3 linked regions of the Callithrix jacchus genome follow. The main gene of each other region encodes a partner of the protein of the gene in region 3 in a complex. Links are inferred from orthologs where the notes say so. Each region holds a gene or a part of one and is shown on either strand. Other genes may lie near its edges.

The links. The genes of interacting proteins can lie anywhere in the genome.
Region 1: CNOT10 (region 3) and CNOT6 share a complex: the UniProt entries of both Homo sapiens proteins name them as parts of the CCR4-NOT complex. The link is inferred for Callithrix jacchus from reciprocal best matches to the Homo sapiens genes CNOT10 and CNOT6.
Region 2: CNOT10 (region 3) and CNOT6L share a complex: the UniProt entries of both Homo sapiens proteins name them as parts of the CCR4-NOT complex. The link is inferred for Callithrix jacchus from reciprocal best matches to the Homo sapiens genes CNOT10 and CNOT6L.

Annotation. Positions count from the first base shown.
Region 1 is NC_133503.1:72,315,216-72,320,401, reverse strand, and holds part of CNOT6 (CCR4-NOT transcription complex subunit 6), read right to left. Parts: intron 4,412-5,186; coding exon 4,209-4,411; intron 1,537-4,208; coding exon 1,324-1,536; 3' UTR 1-1,323. UniProt on the Homo sapiens protein: Poly(A) nuclease with 3'-5' RNase activity.
Region 2 is NC_133504.1:120,306,810-120,311,995, reverse strand, and holds part of CNOT6L (CCR4-NOT transcription complex subunit 6-like), read right to left. Parts: intron 1,691-5,186; coding exon 1,478-1,690; 3' UTR 1-1,477. UniProt on the Homo sapiens protein: Has 3'-5' poly(A) exoribonuclease activity for synthetic poly(A) RNA substrate.
Region 3 is NC_133518.1:70,903,798-70,908,983, reverse strand, and holds part of CNOT10 (CCR4-NOT transcription complex subunit 10), read right to left. Parts: intron 3,041-5,186; coding exon 2,891-3,040; intron 1,374-2,890; coding exon of another isoform or gene 1,239-1,373; intron 1,121-1,238; coding exon 918-1,120; intron 1-917. Other genes in the region: small ribosomal subunit protein uS19-like, read left to right, coding at 1,239-1,373. UniProt on the Homo sapiens protein: Component of the CCR4-NOT complex which is one of the major cellular mRNA deadenylases and is linked to various cellular processes including bulk mRNA degradation, miRNA-mediated repression, translational repression during translational initiation and general transcription regulation.

The sequences.
Region 1 (5,186 bases), on a different chromosome or scaffold from region 3:
GCATCTAATTTATACTGCTTCATAAATGGAAAATTACTTCTTCTTAAATAAGGAATGATTAAAAAAAAAAAGACTAAGGAATACACGGACAACAAAAAGAATTCACATGATAGTAGTACTCTGGGTGACAAGCAGTACACTGCAATGACACCAAGAAGCAGTGCTTGGATCTGGTGAGCAAAGATCCAGGGACCCACCCTATAAACATGTTCCAAAATGCGATATTTGATGCTTCATAATGGAAAAAAAGCCACAGCTCATACAAAAGCATTTTCATAAAATTCTCACAAATGTTAAACAGTATTTTAAAAATATAAAAGAGGATGCACAGATTTTCTCTGCATGCACAGGCAGTGCTTGGTGAGAACAAATTTAGGCAGGCACAGTGGAGATAGGACAGGAAGTATCTCAAAAAGGAGTTAAGCTGTACCTAAGCAGCTGTAGTTTTTTAACTTAAAAAAGTTAAAGACTTAAAAATATCAGAATGTACATATATCAACCATTACATTCAGTCCATAAATGCCTACAGATCATCACTGTTCAGCTTATCTGTCCTGGTAGATGTTTTCGTAAAAATTCATGAATAAGTTGCCTCGGGTCTGAAAACATCCTAAGGTTTAAGCAGATTTATATTTAAAGAACCATGTTCTCAATTTAAAAATAAAGTAGTACAAAAGGGCTAACAAAACCCTAAGAGTGCAAATCATGAGCAGAGAAAGTCTGTTGCAGCTTCTTTTACAAGCTGGCCTTTATAACACATGAAACAGGTTTAAAAAAAAATTTAGCCTTAGTTTACAATACAATCATTTCCAAATGATTTTTTTTTTAGTACAAAATTTCATAAATCAGGTCTTCTGTGGATCATATACAATCATAAAGGCTAAATTCAAATTCTATATTTTACAAACAAGTCTGAAAAAGGAGGGAGTAAAGTATGGAAGAATGGTCTCTGGATGTTACTACTGGCCTCAAAAAAGTAGTGCTACAGATTTCTGTGCAAAGAGAATATGCTCTTCAAACATTTTCCTATTTCAAGGCATGAAAATATTATATTGGATAGAGGAAATAGGAAAATTTCTTATAACAAATTAAAGATAGGTGCAAACACACCAATCCCTGTCTAGCAGTATAAAGCATATTGGGCTCAGAATTTGTCTGTTGCTAGCACCTGGCTTTCATACTATATCCTTATCAAATAATCAGATTGAAAATTCAAATCATTCTTAAGCAAACAAAAACCCTCAGTGGCCATACCTCACTCCCCTATGTTCAGATTTTCCCAAGTTTACAAGTGAATCGAGGCTGTCCTCTGAAGGTGCTTGACTACCTCCTGCCAGGAAGGTGGATGCCATTGACTTGGGGCAGGAACGGCAGTAAGAGCTCCAGTTGTGCAAAAAGTGAGAAGTGGTCAGAGGGGATGAGGGGGTGTGGGCAGCCACTGATGTTATTCTCAACCAGCCAGTGGTGGTCCAGAGGGCCCAGAATGCCTAAGGTGTTCAGCTGAGGTTGAGAATAGAAAATGTAGTCGATTATACCCTGAAAAACAACAGAAAGAAAGATATAAGCACCACATAAGACAACAGGAAAATTCTGAGTGCTTTCAAGACATGTCTTTACAGTCATGTTTGGTGAACAGAACTAAACAAGTGAAACTTATTAGCTTGTAGGATGAGATCTGTACTACATACACCAAATGGTTCCTCCCACAAAATGTCAAATCCAGCAGAATGAAGCATTCTCCCTACCTGGATCTTTAACAAGATCTAAGACCCTTCAGGATGTAGCCTCTGCTTCTCTTTCCTAACCTAATTTGCACCACTTTCCCTGCCACACTAGCCTTTGGAGTGAGAAAGGGGTGAGGGTGGGAGGGGAAACTATGGGTACCAAGCTCTTTCCTGCCTCCCGACCTTCACTCACTCACTCACACATACACACACACACTCTCTCTCTCTCCATTCTGCCTGGAACACTTGTTATGATATCAATTCCTTCTTAATATTAGGTACCAAGCTCTTTCCTGCCTCAGGACTTACACACACACACACACACACATACACACACACACACACACTCAGTCACTCTCCAATCTGCCTGTAACACTTGCTATGAGGTTAATTCCTTCTTAATCTTTCAGTGTCAGGTTCAACTGCTTTCCAAAGACCTTCCTGAATCCTGCTCCCACCTACTTACTACTTCTCACTATTGATTCACTTCCCTTGCTAATGGCCATCTCAAGGTGTCATTTTTGAGACTTGTCTCTCTCATCACATCTCAGCTACATGAGGGCAGGGCTGTCTCTACCTGTCCCTTCTCTCTCAGCAGCACCCCAGCATGGCATCTAACAAACTGTTCCCATCTGATGGTTCTGCTCCTCTCCTCTACATGCTCTTGCCCAAATGCACTCTGAAGCACATTTAAGTGTCTTCTTCGTGCCTCCATCAGCAACATAAAGAGAAAAAAACCCTAAGCTTTCCCACCCTTTGGCTATCACCCATGCCTTCTCTTCAATGCCTCCTTAAGAATTTGAAAGGAAGGGGCACTTGAGGATAAACAGGGGCTTTACTTACTATACTCTAAAGTGTAAGAGCTCCAGAGATACTATCTAAAAACTCTTATTTACACTCTGACAATCTAATGTAAATTATTACTTTGCCAGCAGCTTAGAAATAGAAAGCTAGGAGTTAAGAAAGCAGAAATGCAAAAAGTAGTTTAAAAGGCAGTTGAGCCAGTTGCAGTAGCTCCTGCCTATAATCCCAGCTCCTGGCTATAATCTTAGCCTCCTTTGGAGGGCTAAGGCAGGAGGATTGCTTAAGGCCAGGGATTCGAGATCAGGCTGGATAATATAGGAGGACCCTGTCTTAAAAAAAAAACAAAATTACAAAAAAAAATTAGCTGGGCACAGTGGCACACACCTGTAGTCCTAGTTAGTGGGGAGGCTGAGGCAGGAGGATTGCCTCAGCCCAATTCAAGGCTGCAGTGTGTTATGATCATGTCACTGTACTTCAGCCTGGATGACAGACTGAAACGACATCTCTTTTTCTCTTTTTTTTAAAAAAGGACAGTTAAACCTATCTACAGCAACAATGGAGAAGCCCCCGTTCCGGCCAAAAAAAAAGGATAGTTAAACACAAGAAAGTGACATAGCACTAAATAAAAAAAATGATTAGAGTCTGGCAAGGTGCAGTGGCTCATGCCTATAATCCCAGCACTTTGGGAGGCCAAGATGGGTAAATCACTTGAGGCCAGAAGTTCGACACCAGCCTGCCCAACATGATGAAACTCTGTCTCTACTAAAAATACAAAAATCAGCTGGGTGTGGTGGGGTGCACACATAATCCCAGCAACTCAGGAGGCTGAGGCATGAGAAATCACTGGAATATGGGAGGGGGAGGTTGCAGTGAGCCAAGATTGTGCCACTGAACTCCAGGCTGGGCAACAGAGCAAGACTGTCTCTGGGGGCAAAAAAAGATGTATCTTAGAAACATTTAAAAACAGCTAATAACCACATTTTGACATTCAAAATAATTTAGTTTCAGTTAAATTACAATGTAAGAAAAGGAACACCTTACCCCAACTGCCACCCAAATTAGATAGCATGGTTCAGCATATCTAGCTGTTAATAATGAGAATATAAGAAATGTAATTGTCACCAAAAGGTGAAAAGTCAGCTTAGGAATTTTACAGATTATTTGATCTAACTTCTTATCCTGGAAAATATTGGAATAAATATCTACAAAGTAAGGTTGTGACACTAATCACATGAAATTCTAAAAACAGTAATAAAAAAATATTACTGGCTGAGTGCAGTGGTTCACGCCTGTAATCTCAGAACTCTGGGAGGCTGAGGTGGAAGAATCATTTAAGGCCAGGAGCTCAAGACCAACCTGGGCATAGTGAGACTCCATCTCTACATAAAATACAAGAATTAGCCAGGCGTGGTGGTGTGTGCCTATAGTCCCAGCTACTAGGGAGGCCGAGGTGAGGGGATCATTTCAGCCTTCATGCCGTGATTATGCAACTGCACTCCAGCCTGGCTGACAAAGTGAGACCTTGTCTCAAACATAAAACAAACAATATTGTTGTCAATGAATTCAAGACTGCTTCATTCCAGTCTGAACACACAACCACATTTTTAAAAACATAATAATGCATCAGAAAACTTGCCAGTAAAATAGAGATTTGAAAAACTTATCAGTCTCAAGACACACCTTGAAATCAAATGTGTAATTCGTGTAAGGCATCAGACCACTCTCGTAGGCACTCTTTAACTTGAAACCATGAGTGATCCTTCCATTGGTGGTTCCATTCTTCCCATGACAGCTGAAGTTTGTGAGACTTTCATTATACCTCAGCTCCTTAAAGTCTTTGTGATTTGTTTCTACTCCACCCGTGCTCAAATATTCTACAACACCTACAATGAAGACAAATTTTTTATTGTCAAATATAAACAAAAAGTAATTTTAAAAGATCATGTAATAGTAAAAAGTTTTAAACCACACTATTCCCAGGTTCCAAAACATTACTTTTTATATTTGCCAGGACTTGTCCAAATCTATTTTTACACAATTGTAATCACAGAATATTGAACAGTTTACACTTCGCTTTATAAACATGTGTCTTCCCAAATATCATTCTTTAATGGCTGCACAATGCAGTTGGGCTGGTGGATAATATTTACTACTAATTTTGTAAAATACAGGGTAGTTTCCACTTTTTAAAAAGAATTAAAGGTAATACCACAATCAACATCTTAGTGTGTAGATTTCTGCTTATGCTCAATTATTTACTTGGTATAAAATCCCAAGATTAGGACTGAATGTGCCACTTTATAATACTGCCAACTATGGAAGAGAATACCACCAACTAGTCACAGAGCAAACTTACCCATCCCTAGTGAATTATTTTCCCAATTTACTAAGCACAAGATGGGCTCTACAAATATATTTTAATTTGTATTTTATTCACCAATTAGCAAGGCTGGACATTTTCTGACCTGCCTGCTATTATAATACTGTATTTCACAATGCTGAAATGGGTCTTGCATGTTAATGTTTGACTAGATTTTCTCTTTATTCCTCAGATACTTTGTAGCTACAAAGAAAGTAGAAAGCATGTAGACAAACTGCCAGAGACTACTACTCAACTGCTTTGGTGGTAGTAGTAGTAATAACCGGATTAACTTGATG
Region 2 (5,186 bases), on a different chromosome or scaffold from region 3:
CATTTTGAGACTAGAAACAGTAAAGTGCATGAAAAGTTTAAAATATAAATTTCAGAAAACTCTTATAGCAGCAAAAAAGCAGAATAAAGAAAAACTTAAAAACACAGACACAACCTTTTCCTGTTACTGTGCCATAATTAACATCAAGTAGCCAACCAATTTTTCCCCAGAAAACAGTGTTCTGTTTACTGCCTCTTGAGTCACAGATTTTCAACTGGCCCCTCCTAGGCAAAAAAAAAAGATTCCAACATATCTAAAGGCATCAACAGTTGGGAATAAACCAGTAGCTTCTTAATTCAACCCTGACAGACAACAGAAACAAAGATTAAAAGCATATGATGGTCATTTGGCAGCTAGAGTCTGGAAAATGACCCAAGGCTTTCATCTGCCCCAAATTTGCTCTCTCTCCCCCAAATCCTTTGCACTGTCATCTCAAAAAACCAACAGCCACATAACCTACATTGGAAACACATAAAGTATCTGTATGGTTTTCCCCATCTGAAACTTTGATCAAGGCCTTTTTATTCAGCAGATTTTTTTCTTCTTTTTAACGTCTGGCTATAATGGCAAAAATGATACAGGTCATATAACATGTTTTTCCAGTACAACCATACAGAAAGAAAAGAAGGTTGAAGTGGAGTAAGAAAAAATTCATTCTGTGGGCGTCCTAAATGTACCGCATTCTATTTTCAAGATGTGTGGCAATATAGAATACTTACCCTTTCTCTATAAATAAACTTGAGAGACAGGCTTAGAATTAATACTTCTAATAAGGTTGTAACTAATAGAGGGGACAAAAAACCAAAAGTGATTCCTTACAAAAAACCCCAACCAACCAGCATTTGGCAACAAATTGTCACGTGGTGTTACATACTTATGAAAGCATACTGTGCAACCATCTTTAATATTTCAAATTTTCTTATAATGCATAGAAGCTATATAATAGTTATGCAGAGAGTAAGCAAATTTAAGTGCTCTGTTAATGTGCAAATGACTTGGGAATCCAAAAATCAGTTTGTTATAAAGGAAAAATTCAAGAAGGTTTTCCCTGGAAGGCATATCATCATTCAGTTTAAAACCTTATATTTATAGTTTTAAAAAATTGCCTTTATAAAAATGGTTGGCTCACTGAAACCATCCAAAAGAAAGTATTTGTTTTGGAAAAACATACACTGTTGTTGGGACTCAAATTGGTAATTTATCAATTCTGAATGCTGGCTCTTAATACAATATAAAGAAGGTCCAATTTAAAAACATGTTAAATTAAAATTTTGGAAAGAGAGTAATACTTTGGTTCCAGCCCTACTGCCAAATGATACCAACATGCACAAAAATGTACAAAGTCTTACAGCAAACACATAATGAAAGAAACCTGAAGAAGCAGCTTAAGGATGGCCATACTTCACTCCATATACTTTGATTTACAACTGTACAGGTCCATAGCAACAGATCCCCGTCTTGGCGGGGCAGTACTCCACTACCTCCGATTAGGCAAGTGAACACCATTGACAAGAGGCAGGAGTGGAGGGTGGAGTTCAAGTTGTGTTAACAGTGAGAAGTGGTCTGAAGGGATGTGAGGGTGTGGACACCCAGTGATGTTGTTCTCAACCAGCCATTGAGGATCTAAAGGCCCCAGGACACCAAGCACGTTCATATGAGTCTTGGAATAGAAAATGTAGTCAATCACGCCCTGGAAAGAGATTGGGGTAGGAAAAAAAAAAAAAAGACAAATTCAAAATGTTTATAACAATCCATAATTTATAAAAACCAAAAAACTGAATACCCTTTCTTCTGGTACCTGTTGTCTTGACAGTGGGTCAAATAAGGCTCAAATCTTCAAGGGGTATTTCATGAAATAAAGGTGGCTCAATAGGAAAACAACACCCTATTGGAATCATAAATCCTTCCAATCCTGCATAAGTGATAATTTGAGAAGCTAAACTCATTAAATTATGTCTAGTCATCTTTAGAATTGGCCTGCTTGGTTTAGTGAAATCTAGTATATCAGAATAAATACAATGGAACCTGTACTAATCCTATTGGCTATAAGTAAACAAGAATATTTATATAAGCACATAGTTAATAGCATTATCTTTAATTATTTGCATATCAAGATATCTAAACACACCTGACTGAACCTGTAGTAAACCATGTTTATGGATTTGCTAATTCTAGTTCAGCTTTCCCAGATTTGCTACCTATATACAAAACATTACACAGTTAACTATTCTAAGTTTAAAATACTCATTTTCACAAATATGTGTAAATTCTGGATTTCCTTGCAGCATAAGGATAACTGATCAAAAATCATTCAGCAGGAAGCCTTACACAGCAGTTTTCTCTCTGAGCTAGATAATTTGATCAGTAAGTTTCAAAACCAGAGGGCTATGATTGTCCCAGATTGTGAATGCATGGTAGCAAAATCAAATTATCTTCCTATCTAGTTCCTATTCATATCAAGAGAACCTGAGACCAAGTAGGGAGAAACATTTCTACACCTGTAAAAACCTATTTACAAATACTATTGATGATTTCCAGCCAATACTTTAAATGGTATTATAATGAAATGAGCTACTTAAAAAATAAAAATTTTCAATGAAAACAAATTTTTATGTTGTGAGATTTTAGACACAATTATTTCAATTTATTGATTGATTTTTATTTGACCAATATCAAAATACCAAAACTGTTCCTTTGCTAAGGGAGAAGATTCAGGTACAGTGTCTCATGCCTGTAATCCTAGCCATTTGGAAGGCTGAGGTGGGAGGATGACTTAAGCCCAGGAGTTTGAGACCAGCGTGGTAAACATAATGAGACCCCGGTTTTTACAGAAATATTAAAAATTACCTAGCCATGGTGGCATGCATCTATAGTCCAAGCTACTTGGGAAGCTGAGGCAGGAGGCTCACTTGAGGCCAGAAGTTCTAGGCTACATTGACTTATAACTGTGCCACTGCTTTCCAGCCTCTGGGTGACAAGATTCTGTCTCTTAAAAAAAAAGAAAGCAGCCCTTATCCAACCTTACTTTGCCACAAATTAAGGAATTTACTGGAGTCCAGGGGACTCCAAGCTCAAATAGTCAAAAAATGATAGGATCATAAGGCCTTATCTTTTCATTTTGGTTATAATGCCTAGTTTTACAGTGATATTTTAGAAAATGAGTTAATGAGGATCAGGGTAGTTTTATTTCTCCCTGAGAAACTTTTTTTCAAACAACTTTTTGCTTAAACTCTAAAATAAAACAAATGAAATAATCTCAATTACTTAATGGTGAATAAAACCTCCTGTAAGGCCAGGCACAGTGGCTTATGCCTATAATCACAACATTTTGGGAGGCCAGGAGGATCACTTGAGGCCAGGAGTTCATTACCATCCTGGTCAACATGGTGAAACTCCATCTCTACTAAAAATACAAAAATTAGCTGAGTGTGGGGTGTACACCTGTAGTCCCAGCTCCTAGAGAGGCCAAGGCACAAGAACAGCTTGAACCTGGGAGGTGGATTTTGCAGTGAACTGAGATTGTGCCACCGCACTCCAGCCTGGGCAACAGAGTGAGACTCTGTCTAAACAAAACAAAATAAATCCTCCTTTATCTTACAACTTTATTAGACTGCCATCACACACATCAGCTGCTAGAGTTCTTTGCAAAAGTAGGCTCCAAGATAAAAATGTTAAACACTCCAGGAAGTAAGATGTTTTTAATTGAACATATCACTTGTAACTATTTTCTTGGTTTGAAATACCCAGAGTAAAAACTCTTACCAAAACCCTTAGCCAGGTTACTTCTGTGAATTCACCCAACATATTTGTACATATGCATATATAAGGATCCCCAACTTTGATCATATATGCACAAAGGAGGTTACAGACTAACGATTTTTAACATTTTGAGTCAGTTTCTTTTTTAAAAGCCACAATACTAATGTGGGAAAATGCACTCTTTACATTAGTAAGGACTACTATTTGTGTAAGTTTATAGAACTATATTTGAGAAAAAAGTCAAAACACAATGAAAATACTGTTACCATTACGCTCTTTGTTTTTTAAAAGAATGCCAGAAAATTACAGTATCAATTTCATAATGTAACAGAAAAGTTTACTATTTGCTATAAAAGCTGCCCTTCCTTTTTTAAATTAAATGATTTGGGCACACCCTCAGATTAGAGGATAAGGGTGGGGTGAGGAGCAGCAGCAGTAGGTTTAAATTAAGCTGTTTATTAAACTTACCTGGTCTCAAAGTAATGTTGAAAAAGGAGTAATTCTTCGAATTGTTTACCCTTCAGTTCATTCGAAATCAGTTTGCAATTAAATGAATCTGAACTCTAAATATCTCTTTTCTACATTTCTATCTTGGTCAAGGACCAAGAAAGTAAACAAATGCTAAGCCAAGCAAACAAAATTTCACACCTCACTGATACAGCGGCCCCTCACTAATACAATTGGTTCTGTATTTAATGCTGATCACATGGCATTTTATATGTGATGTTACTTACTCTTTTTTACTGATTGCTTTCAATATTGGGATAGCATTAATTATGTAAAATATATGTATAAAACTGAAGTTAATTCTGTTACTTGGACTAAGAGCTCAATTCTCTCTACTCAAGGTGTGTCCTTAGTTTAATCTCTAGCTATCCTTTCTTCCTACACTATTCTATCCTCTCATCCCATCCATCTATCCAGCCAGCCTATTGATCTTCCCATATATGCCTCTTTCCCACCAACTTATACCTTTATCTTTCTCTCTGATCCTATCTTATACAACCAAACATCAAACACTCTCTGAGCCAGGCATTTCTAGTTCTTTAACCGTGCTTAGTTGAACAATGTAAGTGGCTCAGTGGGATTTTTGATTCAATTATTACACATGTAAGACCTTTTGAAGGACTGTCAATAAATAATCTTAAACCAATTCAGATGACTGAGGAAGGTGGATTAATGTCCCAAATTGCGTTTCTCTGATTTTTTGTTTAAGGACAAGAAAAAAGTAAGCCTTTAAGAAGTCCAGGCTGAGTACAGTGGCTCACACCTATAATACCAGTACTTTGGGAAGCCGAGGTGGACGAATTGCTTGAGCCCAGGAGTTCAAGACCAGCCTGGGCACCTTGGTGAAACCCTGTTTCTACCAAAAAAAACCAAAAACAACCCTCAAAAGTACAAAAATTAGCCAGGCATGGTGGTGCACA
Region 3 (5,186 bases):
CAGGCCACTGTTCCAACATACATGACTTTCTGACTGGCTTCAACTCTTTAATGTTGCCATACTTACCAAGAATGAGAATGTTAACAAATGACTTTTTAAATTTTCATTTTCATTTTTTTGAGACATTGTCTCACTCTGTTGCCCAGGGTGGAGTGCAGTGGCTCTATCTGGTCTAGTTTCAACCTATACCTCCTGGGCTCAAACTATCTTCCCACTTCAGCCTCTTGATTAGCTGGGACTACAGGCACTCACCGCCACACCAAGATAATTTTTTGTAGAGATGGAAGTCTCGGTCTCACTATGTTGCCTAGATTGGTCTTGAACTCCTGAGCTCAAGTGATCTACTCACCTTGGCCCCCCAAAGTACTTGTATTACAGGCGTGAGTCATTGTGCCCAGCCAACGAACGAGTTTTTGAAACTAAATTTTTTTCCCAGTGGTTAAAGAAGACCATCTATATATTCAATGATAGTTAAAAAGAGAATGATGATGGCCAGGTGCTGTGGCTCACACCTGTAATCCCAGCACTTTGAGAGTGGAAAGTGGAGGCCAAGGTAGGTGGATCATCTGAGTTTAAAACCAGCCTGGGGAACATGGTGAAACCCTGTCTCTACTAAAAATACAAAATTAGCCAGGCATGGTGACACATGCCTGTAGTCCCAGCTATTTGGGAGGCTGAGTGAGGTAGGCGAATCGCTTGAACCTGGGAGGCGGAGGTTCCAGTGAGCCAAGATTGCGCTATTGCACTCCAGCCTAGGCAACAAGAGAAACTCCATCTCAAAAAGAAATAAATAAAATACAAATAAATAAATAAAAGAGAATGATGTCTTATGTATGTTTCAAAGTTTCTTTTTTTTTACATTCCACGTAGTAAGTGGAGGTAAGATAGGGTCCAAAAAGATACCAAGCAGCACTCACCCCCTTATTGGCAGCAATGCAGCATTCAGCCAGCCGTAGCCAGAGGCGAGGATTTGCATGATAAACCTGAACAGCTTCAATCAGGCATTCGAAGGCAGCAAGAGGCCTTCCAATGTGAAGAAGCTGAATTCCACAGTTATACAGCAGCTCATATCTCTTATTGGTTAGTAATGTACACATGGGTCTTCCTGAAAATTTTTTGCCTAGTGATAAAAATTAGATAAGAATAAATCATTAGTAACAGTTACCTTGAAAACATTCATTCCATTAAGTACTTAGACACTACCATGTTTGACACCAATAATCCTAATCTGATTATAGCTGTTACCAATGGTGGATTCCATCCTCAACCCCACAAATATTTTCCAGTCATCTCAGTTATTTATGCTGGCAGAGCCAGAGATGTCTCTTCTTATTCACCAGCTACTCAGGTAACAATGCTCCAGGAAGGCAAAGGTAAGAGATAGGACCCACTCTCACTCCTTTGAATCTTATACTGCTTTTCTACATTTTTACTTTATTCTCTTTTATTGTTTAATTTTTACTTTTATTTTTGTAGCAATGGGGTCTCTGTATGTCGCTCAGGCTAGTCTTGAACTCCTGGACTCAAGTGATCCACTTTGGCCTCCCCTAAATATTGGGATTACAGGCATAAGCCATCTCTCCCAGCTAACATATTTAGAGTCTGTAAGAAGTTTCCACTTTTTAAAATTTTCGGCAGGGAATGGTGGCTCATGCCTGCAAACCCAGAACTTTGGGAGGCCGAGGTGGGCAGATTACAAGGTCAGAAGTTCAAGACCAGCCTGGCCAACATAGTGAACCAAATCTCTACTAAAAATACAAAAATTAAGTGGGCATGGTGGCACATGCCTGTAGTCCCAGATCCTCAGGAGGCTGAGGCAGGAGAATCACTTGAACCCAGGAGGTAGAAGCTACAGTGAGCCAAGATCGTGCCACTGCACTCCAGCTTGGGCAACACAATGAGACTTGGTCTCAAAAAAAAATTTTTTTTCCTTCATTTTGGTTAACAATTTTATTATCATGTGTTATCACCTATTTATTCAGTGTTACAGTCTATTTTGATTTAGAATACCTTTGTCATTAAATAGGTTATTTTTAAAAGCTAAATAATTGCTTGATATTAGGCATTTCGGATCAAGGATCCCCATGATAATGAATATTAAAGGATAAACATTAAGAATTTGCTTAAAGACTGTCAGATGCTAACCAACAGTATCACATGCAAAACTCTGCAAAGAATCTATAATAAACTGGGCACAGTGGCTCACACCTGTAATTCCCGCACTTTGGAAGGCGGAGGTAGGAGGATCCCTTGAGCCCAGGAGTTCCAGACCAGCCTAGGTAACATGCAAAACCCTGTCTTTACAAAAAACACAAAAATTAGCCAGGTGCAGTGGCACATATCTATAGTCCCAGCTACTCAGGAGGCTGCGGTGGGAGGGACACTTGAGCCCAGAAGGCAGAAGTTAAAATGAGCTGAAATTGCACCACTGCACTCCAGCCTGGGTGACAGAGCTAGACTCTGTCTCAAAAAAAAAAATATATATATATATTTATATATATATTTTATTATATATATTTTTATTATATATGTATATTATATATATTTTAATATATATATATATAAAATAAACCTAGTTTGGCACAGCCATGTTGTGACTAATCAAACATTCTGGTATATAATATTACCACAGGGAATCAGTCATTTTCAAATTCATGAAAAATGGAATGCAACTTAAATCTCTAGATAATTCAGAATTACTCTTAACACCTTGTAATTGCTATTCAAAGCAGCAATATCTACTAAAAATCCCCAGAGCCAAGCTTGTTGGGTAAGATCAGAGTTAACTGTTTATAAGTCTACAAGGTGGGTACTTGTACCACATTCATGCTTTTTAAATCACGCTTTTCTGAAGTAATAAATACAAACTGTCCCCCAGTACTGGGCTTACCTGCATCAGTGCTGCCTGCACTCAGCTGTGCACAGACATTGTCATTCTCCTGCAGAGCCTTTTTAAAGTAGAATAATCCCAAATTGTGCTTGCTCATGGCAAAATGGATGCACCCAAGGTTGTTCCAGAACATGCATCTCAAGCATTCACCTGAGAAAAACACAACAAAATGTGTCCACAGAAATATTTTAATGTTGATGTTCCTCAGACAAGAATTGGGCTTATCTTTGTTGGGTTAACCCTGTTACCATTCCACTTACTACCTAAAGAACGGTTGACAAGGCATTTGAAATTTAGGAAACATCTGAAAAATTTAAAAACTCCTTTTAAAATCTCTTTTATTAAAGGTGAGAAAAATTATTTTTAAAAACCAATCCTATTTTGTTAGCCTAATTTTGTTCTATATTTTTTCCTTTTTAAAAATAATTTTTTAAACAGACAGGGTCTTACTATATTTCCTAGCCTGGTCTTGAACTCCTGGGCTCAAACAATCCTTCTGCCTTCACTTCCCAAAGTTCTGGGATTACAGGCATGTGCTACCATGCCCAGCTAATTTTTAATAACTGTAGACAAATGATACAAAAATGCAAAAACAAAAAATATTTCTCAGTAATGTTTATGCATTGTATCTACCAATGAAATATTACGTAGAAATTAGAAACAAGGAAGCAAGTATATGTGGAAACTGCCAAAGTATATTAAATGAATAGCAAGAATATACAGAAAAGGACGGAGTGAGGCCGGGCACTGTGGCTCATGCCTGTAATACCAGCACTTTGGGAGGCCCAGGCGGGTGAATCACTTGAGGTCAAGAGTTTGAGACTAGCTCGGCCAAGTGGACTGTGAGGAGAAACTACAACAATGAAAACAAAAAACTAAAATTGAGCAGAATTAGAAATGGGTATTTAGAAAAGAAAGAATACCCTCAATAGAATTATAAGGAACAAAGTGCCCTTCTCCATCCTCCATCACTCCAGTGAACTGAAAGGGTAAATGGGGGAAGGTCTGAGTGTGTTTGCAGGTATACTCGTGTGTGTATCTAAATAGAATCCAAAACAAACCAAAAACCATGTAGTTTGCATTTTAAACTTGAGACAAAACATACATTTTCAATAGTTTATCCTCATTTCTTGAATAAATGATTTTCCTTCTCCTGCTCCATAAAATAGTAATGATATAAACCTAAATGACATTCACAATTTTTACTTTCATGTTACCATTAATATTAAGGGATTTGTAAGACTTTCTAAATAGAGGTAAGAATATGTAATAACACTTATCTTCATAGCTTTATAGAAAGATTTTTTGATATAGTTAATGATCTAAAGAAGTCCTATTCATTGGGCAAGTTACTGAAAAAAATCGTATTATTAACTGCCTTTATGGCAGAAAAAAGTTAAGAACATTATATTATTTACTTAAAAGGTCACAAAGCAAAAGTCCAAGGACCTTATAAAAACAAATGAAAGAGCCAGGTGCAGTGGCTCATACCTGTAATCCCAGCACTTTAAGACACTGAGGTGGGCAGATGACTTGAGGTGAGGAGTTTGAGACTGGCCTGGCCAACATGATGAAACCCAGACTGTACCAAAAAAACAGAAAAATCAGCTGAGTGTGGTGGTACATGCCTGTAGTCCCAGCTACTTAGGAGGCTGAGGTGGATAATCACTTGAACCCGGGAGGTGCAAGTTGTAGTGAGCCAGGATCGTGCCACTGCACTCCACCTTGGGCAACAGAGCAAGACTGTCTCGAGAAAAAAAAAAAAAAGAGCAAGTTGGGTTAAAGAAAAGATATCTGGGTCAGGCACAGTGGCACGCTTGTAATCCCATCACTTTGGGAGACAGAGGTCATCAGATCACTTGAGCCCAAAAGTTTGAGACCAGCCTGGCAACATAGTGAGACCTTGTTTCTACAATAAATAAGCCAGGCATGGTGGTACATTCTTACAGTCCCAGCTACCTGGGAAGCTGAGGCGATTGAATCGCTTGAGCCCAGGAGGTAGTGAGCTGAGTGAGCTGTGATTGTAGCACTGCATCCAGCCTGGGTGACAAAGCAAGATCCTGTTTCAAAAAGAAAAAGAAGAGAAAGAGAAAGGAAAGGAAAAGAAAAAAGCGATCCAATCTGGAAAAGAATCTAAAAAAAGGAAAGAAAGCAAAGTAAAAGCAAGAAGTAATGAGGTTTCTTCTAAAGTAGAGACAAGAATTTCCGGAATTTTTTTGCAGCAGAAATATTAAAGTATTTTCATTGAAAAATTAGCATATGGCAGGGTGCAATGGCTCACACCTATAATCTCAGT